Linked DNA regions of Lepisosteus oculatus. The protein of the gene in region 2 purifies or fractionates together with the protein of the main gene of each other region. This does not show direct contact. Links are inferred from orthologs where the notes say so. Each region holds a gene or a part of one and is shown on either strand. Other genes may lie near its edges. The genes, in order: znhit2 and ecd.

Region 1 (3,917 bases), on a different chromosome or scaffold from region 2:
CCCCTGCTGCCCGCCGTCTGTGCAAACAGAGAGAGAGAGAGAGAGGGGGACCACTCTGGCGTCTGGGTTCGCCTCAGAACCGGCAGGCGGCCCCCGACTTCCCCCTCGCGATGTTCAGGGCATGAAAACGACTGGGTTTGGAGCACAGTGGTGCAGCGCTGGGGCCCTGTGCGCTGTCTGTGTGGAGTTTGCACGTTCCCCTCGTGTATACATGGGTTTCCTCCCACAGCAGAGACAGGCTGGTGGGTTAATTGGCTTCTGGGAAAACTGGCCCTGGTGTGTGTGTGTGTGTGTGTGTGTCCTGTGATGGACTGGCGTCCCATCCAGGGTGTACCCTGCCTTGCGCCCGTTGCTTGCTGGGATAGACTCCCGCTCCCCCCGTGACCCGTAACCAGTAAGCGGGTTAGAAAATGGATGACAAATCGATTACTAGATCGACGCTAACTAAAACAGAAGCAAGAGGTATTCTCCAAAATTTCCACTGGCTGTTTTCCTCGTTACACATTCATACAGCTGGAGCTCGGAGGGCAAGAGGGCACCTTTGGGGCTGCTTTACAGCACCAATACCCCCTCCCAGCCTTCACACAGGATTCGAACCCGTGACCTCTCCAATCAGTGAGTCCTGGGCTCCAAACACATAACTACCTCTTAGACCGGACACTGCGCGGTCACCCTCTTCCGAGTAAAATTGTTCAAAAAAATAATCCCTCTGATAGCTTCACCGACTCAAGCGGATTAATCATACACTTCACAGGTGGTGCAAAACTTCTACAATTTCCGTTTTCAAACATCGGCGGCGTTCTGGTTAGGGAGATCCCGGGGAACGTGTTTGTACAAAGGCTGGCACAGCTCGGACGAGATGCAGGTTCAAGAGTTTTAACAGTAAACGATCGATGAGGTTTTCTTTTCTGGTCGGGCAAGGTTCCCGTACAAACAGCGCCACCACCTCCTTCGGAGTGACTTTTTCAGAACACAGTTTTGTTTTCAGGTTAACGCTGAATGAAATATTTTCGGCTCAGAAGTAAAACACTACCACCTCCGGGAGGAAACACAGAGAGCAACACACAGGTGGTGCCCTGGCCGTCCTGTAAATCCACTGCTGAGTGACTGTTAAATCAGAACAGGCCGGTCGGGTTCCGTAGAGATCCGCTAAACCTCAATCACAGCCGCTGGGCTGTGGACGGTACCGGTCACCCTGTAACTCAGTAACCCGGAGCAAGACGACTTTTAAAAGCCCCAAGATTCTGTCTTGTTCGGGAAAGCTCATTTTGAGGCACGACCGCACGCAACCCCTTTACTGCACCGGTTCGGAGGCGGCCTGCTGTCCAGCACTGACCCGGTTCGGCGGTTAACTCGCCGTTCGCGCTCGGATCCAGATTCTCCGCCGCCATCTTGGAAGAGACGAGAATACGGCACGTCTCTGCCGGTGACGTCACTGCCCTGGATCGCCATGGCAACCACCGAGTTTTAGCTAAATTAAAAATGTTTTTTTTTTAAATTATGACTCCAATTCTTTTTAGAGAATGAAATGACTGTTCATCAGAGAGGCGGATGTTCTCTACGTTATGTAAGTGTCCACAAACTCCTTGCGGGATTGTGTAAACTTACAAGCAACAGATTCCAAACAAGTCGCCCTTTAAACTCGTACAGAACGAAGCTTTTGTTTGTAAAAGATATCCGAGTAAAGTAGTCGAGTGTGTATTTCGAGACGGCGGCTGTATTTACAGACGTGGATGAGAACAGTTTTGCAGGCGCCTTGCGACAACGCACGACAGTGGGGCTTGCTTTACAGCACCCACGCGGGGCGAGTGTGGGAGTTTGGAAGAAGAGATGGCGTCTAGAAACAGTGTATACTTGTTGTAAAAAAAAAAAGGGTACAGATTTTATTGATAGGAATCGGGATAAGCCATTCAGACACCGGTTTGGCAGTCAGGTCATTCCCAGGCGAAAAGTGAGACACGAACCGGGACGACTGTCCGACGTTATCGCGACACTTGGCGTATTCATGTGAGTATGAGTTACTAAGCGTTTTTTGTTTATGAGTTTCGCGGATAAAAGTGGCATTTTGTTGTTTGGCTTTAAATAAATGCATCACTTTGAATTTGTAATACCGAGTTTCCGAGTTTCTTTTGCAGTTTTTAATTCGAAACGTTTCATACGGCCGTGTAAATACCGTTTTGTACTACATAGTCGAGCATATTTTCTTGGTTTGTAGGATCAGCCTGGTCTAGGTCCTCTTATGGTAAGAAACTACGCTGCCTGCTTAGGTCAGCTAATTAGACCGAATTCTGTTTTGGTCATCTGCTACTTGACAGCGAGGTTATGTGAAATCGGCTACGCCCCTGCTGCAGCATGTATTGTAATCCGAAGACCAACGTTACTTGTTGAATCGATCACAGCCAAACAAGTGTTCACAATCTACACGAGCTGGGTGCTGGGTATTAATACTAATAATTACGGTTATAGAGTACTTTTCTGGTGACTCCATTCAAAGCATTTTAGAGGTAGTGGGGACTCCCCTCCAGCCCCACCTGGATGAGGCGCCAGTCCGCTCCCCACACCCCAGCTCTCAGTGGGGAGGAGAGCAGAGTGATGGAGCCAGTTCAGAGAGGGGGGTTATTAGGAGGCCATGATGGGTAAAGGCCAGGGGGAAATTGGGCCAGGACACCAGGGTAACACCCCTACTCTTCTCGAGAAACGCCCTGGGATTTTTAATGACCACAGAGAGTCAGGACCTCGGTTTGACGTCTCATCTGAAGGACGGAGCCTGTTTACAGTCTAGTGTCCCCCGTCACTATACTGGGGCATCAGGACCCACACAGACCGCAGGGTGAGCGCCCCCTACTGGCCCCACTAACACCTCTTCCAGCAGCAGCCTCAGCTCTCCCAGGAGTCTCCCCTCCAGGTACTGGCCAGGCTCACACTGCTGGGCTCCAGTGTGCTGCCCGATGTGAGCTGTATAGTGACATAGCCGCTGTCTGTATTTATGCCAGCCGGTCTCTCTTAGTTGAAATGGGGCTCTCCAGGAGCTGTATTAGAGGAACACACTCAACGGGGTAGCAGTACGGTAACACAGTGCTTTTTATTTACAGTGAGGGGGTAAAAAAAAACCAAAATCGAGCTCTTCTCTGACTTAAACTTAAACTGACTGAACTGCTTATTGGCTTGAAAGCAGACAAGCTTCCTCTTAACTTACAGTGCCCGCGGGCCAGTCAGCCAGGGGCAGAGCACAGCGGAAACTCGTCTCTCCCGTCTCGGCAGCAGATGCTGACCATCCCCGAATCTCTCCCCCCTCTTCCTGGTTTTGACATCGTCGCCGACCAATCGTCTTCCGCCTGCTGGTCAGGTGACCCCCACCCCACAGCCTTCTGGGAAATGTAGTTCCAGCACGACCCCTCCGTCTGTATGATGTGAATGCCAGTGTGCTCCTTCCGGTTAATTTAACTCCGGGGCCTGACTGTTCTATCCTGTCTTCAGGCGGGACTAGGGATCGGGAATCCCCGTTCCTCGGCAGCATGAACGTCCTGCGGGTGAGAAGGCTGCCGGCTTGCGTGACCGGACTCCTCTCGGCGCAGGGGGGCGGCTGGACCGAGCAGGAGGCGTGGGCCGAGACCCCCACGGAGCCGGCGGCCGTGGGCACGGGGGACATCGGCGGTGTTGCGGTGCCGGGGAGGGCGGGGGCGGAGCCCGGCGAGCCCCTGCTGACGCCGGCGAGGCCGTGCGCGCTGTGCCTGCAGAGCCCGGCTCGCTACACCTGCCCGCGCTGCCAGGCGCCCTACTGCGGCCTGGGCTGCTACCGCGGGCCGCGCCACGCCCGCTGCTCCGAGGACTTCTACAGGCAGGCCGTCCTGGGCGAGCTGCGCGCCGCCGGCCGGGCCGGGGAGGAGGGCCGACGGCGGATGCAGGAGATCCTGGTC
Region 2 (3,917 bases):
TGTAGTGTGACCCTTCCTATATGTACAGAACTATATAAATGCAACAAATCATCACGATTATTAACATTATTTTGAACTATTATTATCCAAATATTCAAGCAATAGCATTACCAATGAAGCAAATCAGTTCCGTCAAATATTATATTACAATCCTCCTTCACGTCTCTCTGAAACAATGGAATAGGCAAACCTATGGATTTAACTCTACAAAGTACATTTTATTCCCCTTCAGTTGCGATTTTCTCGCTGTGACGAGAGGGACTGACTCCGAGAAGACATTTAAAACAGCGATGTCAGTTATCGTACAAAGGGCACAGTTACAGAATACTCACATCTCCAGGCTGTGTGACACAGGTCGTCTGCTGTATCTCGAAATCATTTTCTTGTTCACAATTTCCCCATATCCCTCTCCGACAGGTCCTCCGTTAAGCTATCCTCTGATTCCCGTCCCCGTTGCCTCTTTCGCTGGGGGTGTACCATCGTTCTCACTTTCCGTGAGCTCCACTACTCAAGTCCTCAGTCCTGTAGGATGTCTGTTTACTTGAATATGGCCAATTTTATACTGATACGTCTAGAACGGGGTGAATATAGCAGAGGAATTAAGTCACCTAATGACAGAAATGTCTACGTTTTTTTTTCAAAAACGACATATTCAGAAATACAAAAGTTCTAATTAGCTGTGAATTGTATTTTTCTGGAAGATGGACGGTTGACCATACCACCCTCTTAAAATGTTTTAATGTTTTCAACCCAAAACTAGTTTAGCACCATCTAACAACAACAACTAGGCTGTCATGGATACCCATCTTACCCCTCTATCGTCATGCCTTCTGGGAAAAGTAGTTTTTGCTTCCCAACAATGTCTGCGATTTACGAACTCGGCGAATCAGCAAAGGACTTCAGTTCCCGACTGCCACATAGGAGGGGCTACAATGCTCTCTGGGAAATGTAGTATTTATCTTAAATGCATCTGTTTTAAAGAGGGCAATGCGCCCATATACTGGAACTGAGTAGAATAAATATATTAGCTAAACTCTTAATTCTATAATAACTAACTGTCTATCAGAGAAAATTAATACAGTTGGAACTATTGTTTCAAAAATGCTTGTTTCCCAGTCGGGTCATTATGACCGTGCTTTTCCGGGAACAAGAAACTAAAGGAATGACCTGTGTCGTCATGCGTGCGTCAAGGCTGACAGTGTACTTTCTTGAATTGCCTGTATACAATTTTTAAACGTGTGGAGTACATATAGGTTAATTTGTTCCTGTCTGTAATTATTTTGAAAGGTATACCCCCTGGAGACAAAGAGTAAGAATGTTTATTTTATACAGTGGCCTTTTCAATGATCGTCAGAGTACTGCATGCTTTTACTTTTCAATACTGATATGGCGTTATATTAATATTTTGAATCATATGATGAAAGCTACTTTTGTAGCTTAATGTATTATTCAGTGAGTAGCTCTAATTAAAACTTTTAGCTTCTTTCCATTAATCTATTTGCCTTGATTTAAAGTAAAAATGTGTGCATCGTACAAGAGGATGTTAATCTTAACTGCTTGCTGAAAATGGATGAAAACTTTTTTGAAAAATAGATATTTTCTGAAATAGTGAAAACGTGGTTGCATAGTTTCAGTCATCAGAAATAATGTCTTTCTTGAGTTATTCTGGTTATATTTTTCTTACCTCAAGGAACCCATAATCGAATCGTTGTTTGAGCCATGTTTCGAAACCTTCTTTTATGTATTTGATTTAATATGTTCACGTTTCTGCTGGGTCTCCATCAGTACTGTCGATAAATGCTAGCTTGATGCTACAGTTGTTTAAGGAAGAACATCCTCTCAATATGTAATACAAATGAAACAGTACAACAGCTGTATACATACACTACGGAGTTTAATTCCTCTTAAAAGATTTTTTACATTTATAATCTTGGTTTTCATGAAATATGTCAAAGAGCTTCGGGTGCACACTATCTAAAATGAGCGTGATGAGAGTATTATTTCAGTCTGGTGTTGTCTTCCTGTGTGGACAGCAGACATACAAGGGCACAATGGATGTGCTGAAAAGACCCCCTGTTGCCGAGGACATGGTGCAGTACCGCCTGTTTCTGGTCCAGCCCAATGCTTGTGATCCTCAAGCCGCTCAGCAGCTTCTGCAGCAGGATGTGGAGAGGATTCTGGTGCAGTTTGCGCCTCTGCTCGTGCAGTACATCTGGCAAAACCAACCTTTTAACATCAAATATGTTCCCGAAAAAGGTCAGCAAATGAACATCATTGTGGTAGGCAATCGAATATGTATGGTATTGTATTCTGTTTTCATGCAGTTCAGCTCTCTCACGTGAAATGTTACTGTAAATATAATAAAAACTGCATTACCTATACATTTCATTTTGGCTGTTTTATTAAGCATATCATATCATATTAAACATGTATCATTCTGCCTTGCAGCTGGTGTTCCTGCTCACATTGGGGGTTCCACACAATTTGGGGACAATGTGGAAGATGAATGGTTCATTGTGTATCTTATACAGGAGATCACCCGAACCTTCCCTCACCTGGCTGCCAGGTAAGGTTGTACAGCCATGTTGGAGCTGAGGTTATCTGATATTAGTTTTCAATCTTTTTTTTTTGTTTCAAGTTTTCCATCTTTCCAGAGATGTATTTCCTGAGGGTCCAGCCTGCTTATGGGCATTAAAGATTCCAGGATGCTATTCATAAGAGTAGGGGCGCACTGAGTTTTGGGAAAAATGCCATTTTAGCCCTTTTCTTTCTCAGTCTCTCTACTTTATTTCCTGGCTTCTTTGCCTTATCTTTGTATGAAATGACTGTTTATGAGTGTCTCCTAAAAGGATGATGCACTGTGGAAGGAAGAAGTACTTCATCATCTACAAAGGACTTTGGAATCCTTCAAAACGAAAAATACTGTATAAATACAAGTAACTAATACTTATGTTAGGTTGAAGGAAATTAAGATATTCCTCCTTCCCTGTCTCTATAGGGAAGTCCCTGTTGCCATTGTGTGATTGTGTTGGTTTGCAGGATTGAGGACAATGACGGAGAATTCTTGCTGATAGAAGCAGCTGAGCACCTTCCCCGATGGCTGAATCCAGAGAGCAGTGAAAACAGAGTGAGAACTTGTCCCTTTTGGCAGTCAGGTTCTTTGCAACAGGGAAAGCATTGTAACATTTGACAGACTCAGTAAAAATGTATGTTAACTTTGCATAAGTGTTAAAAGTTTTATAGTGCATCAAATCACAGAAAATCACAGAACAGTTTGTACTTCAAAGTCTGTCTTAAACACCCTTTTTTGTCTCCAGACCCTTAAAGCTTCAGTTTCCAGATTTGTAAACTGTCTTAAACTTATTTGTCAGGTGACAGAGGATGGCTGGTCAATCCCCACAGCTTTCTGGGGAATGTAGTCCAGTCAAGTGCTGTCATCATGGTCTCATCCTACTGTCCTCTCACATTTTATAAAGTAAATTAAACATTCAAAACACAAAAAATGCCTTTCTGTTAAAAGGACAGGATGGTTCATGGTTTACTTTTTCCCATCCTACCTTTTATTTATTTATCAGGAGAGGCTGAGCAGACTGATGCCTTGTGCACTCTGTCTATGCAGGTATTTCTGTACCGGGGTGAGCTGCACATCATCCCTGCACCCCAGGACCCTGGGGAGGAGGGGTGGCCCCCTGATGCCACACCCACCTTGCCCCAGGCGCTGGCCCTCCTATCCTCACAGCCTGAGACCTGTCTGGCTGCCCAACCCACCCGCACTGCTGTGGCCAAGAGAGTGAAGGGGTAATGAGGGTAGAGGACCTGATGGTCCTTTGTGCTGTAACATTTCCAATACCTTATTACCTTTTTCATTTCATTCATAATAATAACAATATTATTATAATAATATAATCAATCATTAT

Evidence for each region.
Region 1: the proteins of ecd (region 2) and znhit2 purify together in Homo sapiens (affinity purification with mass spectrometry; 3 studies listed by BioGRID and IntAct, counting the BioPlex papers as one, with this or other methods). This does not show direct contact. The link is inferred for Lepisosteus oculatus from reciprocal best matches to the Homo sapiens genes ECD and ZNHIT2.

Annotation. Positions count from the first base shown.
Region 1 is NC_090713.1:21,259,072-21,262,988, reverse strand, and holds the start of znhit2 (zinc finger HIT domain-containing protein 2), read left to right. Parts: upstream 1-1,574; 5' UTR 1,575-2,007; intron 2,008-3,477; 5' UTR 3,478-3,515; coding exon 3,516-3,917. Other genes in the region: pre-mRNA-processing factor 39, read right to left, coding at 1-17, 1,337-1,391. UniProt on the Homo sapiens protein: May act as a bridging factor mediating the interaction between the R2TP/Prefoldin-like (R2TP/PFDL) complex and U5 small nuclear ribonucleoprotein (U5 snRNP).
Region 2 is NC_090699.1:28,766,561-28,770,477, forward strand, and holds the start of ecd (protein ecdysoneless homolog), read left to right. Parts: upstream 1-1,141; 5' UTR 1,142-1,309; intron 1,310-2,033; exon of another isoform or gene 2,034-2,036; 5' UTR 2,037-2,051; coding exon 2,052-2,256; intron 2,257-2,448; coding exon 2,449-2,566; intron 2,567-3,039; coding exon 3,040-3,127; intron 3,128-3,619; coding exon 3,620-3,798; intron 3,799-3,917. Other genes in the region: protein FAM149B1, read right to left, coding at 333-379. UniProt on the Homo sapiens protein: Regulator of p53/TP53 stability and function. Inhibits MDM2-mediated degradation of p53/TP53 possibly by cooperating in part with TXNIP. May be involved transcriptional regulation. In vitro has intrinsic transactivation activity enhanced by EP300.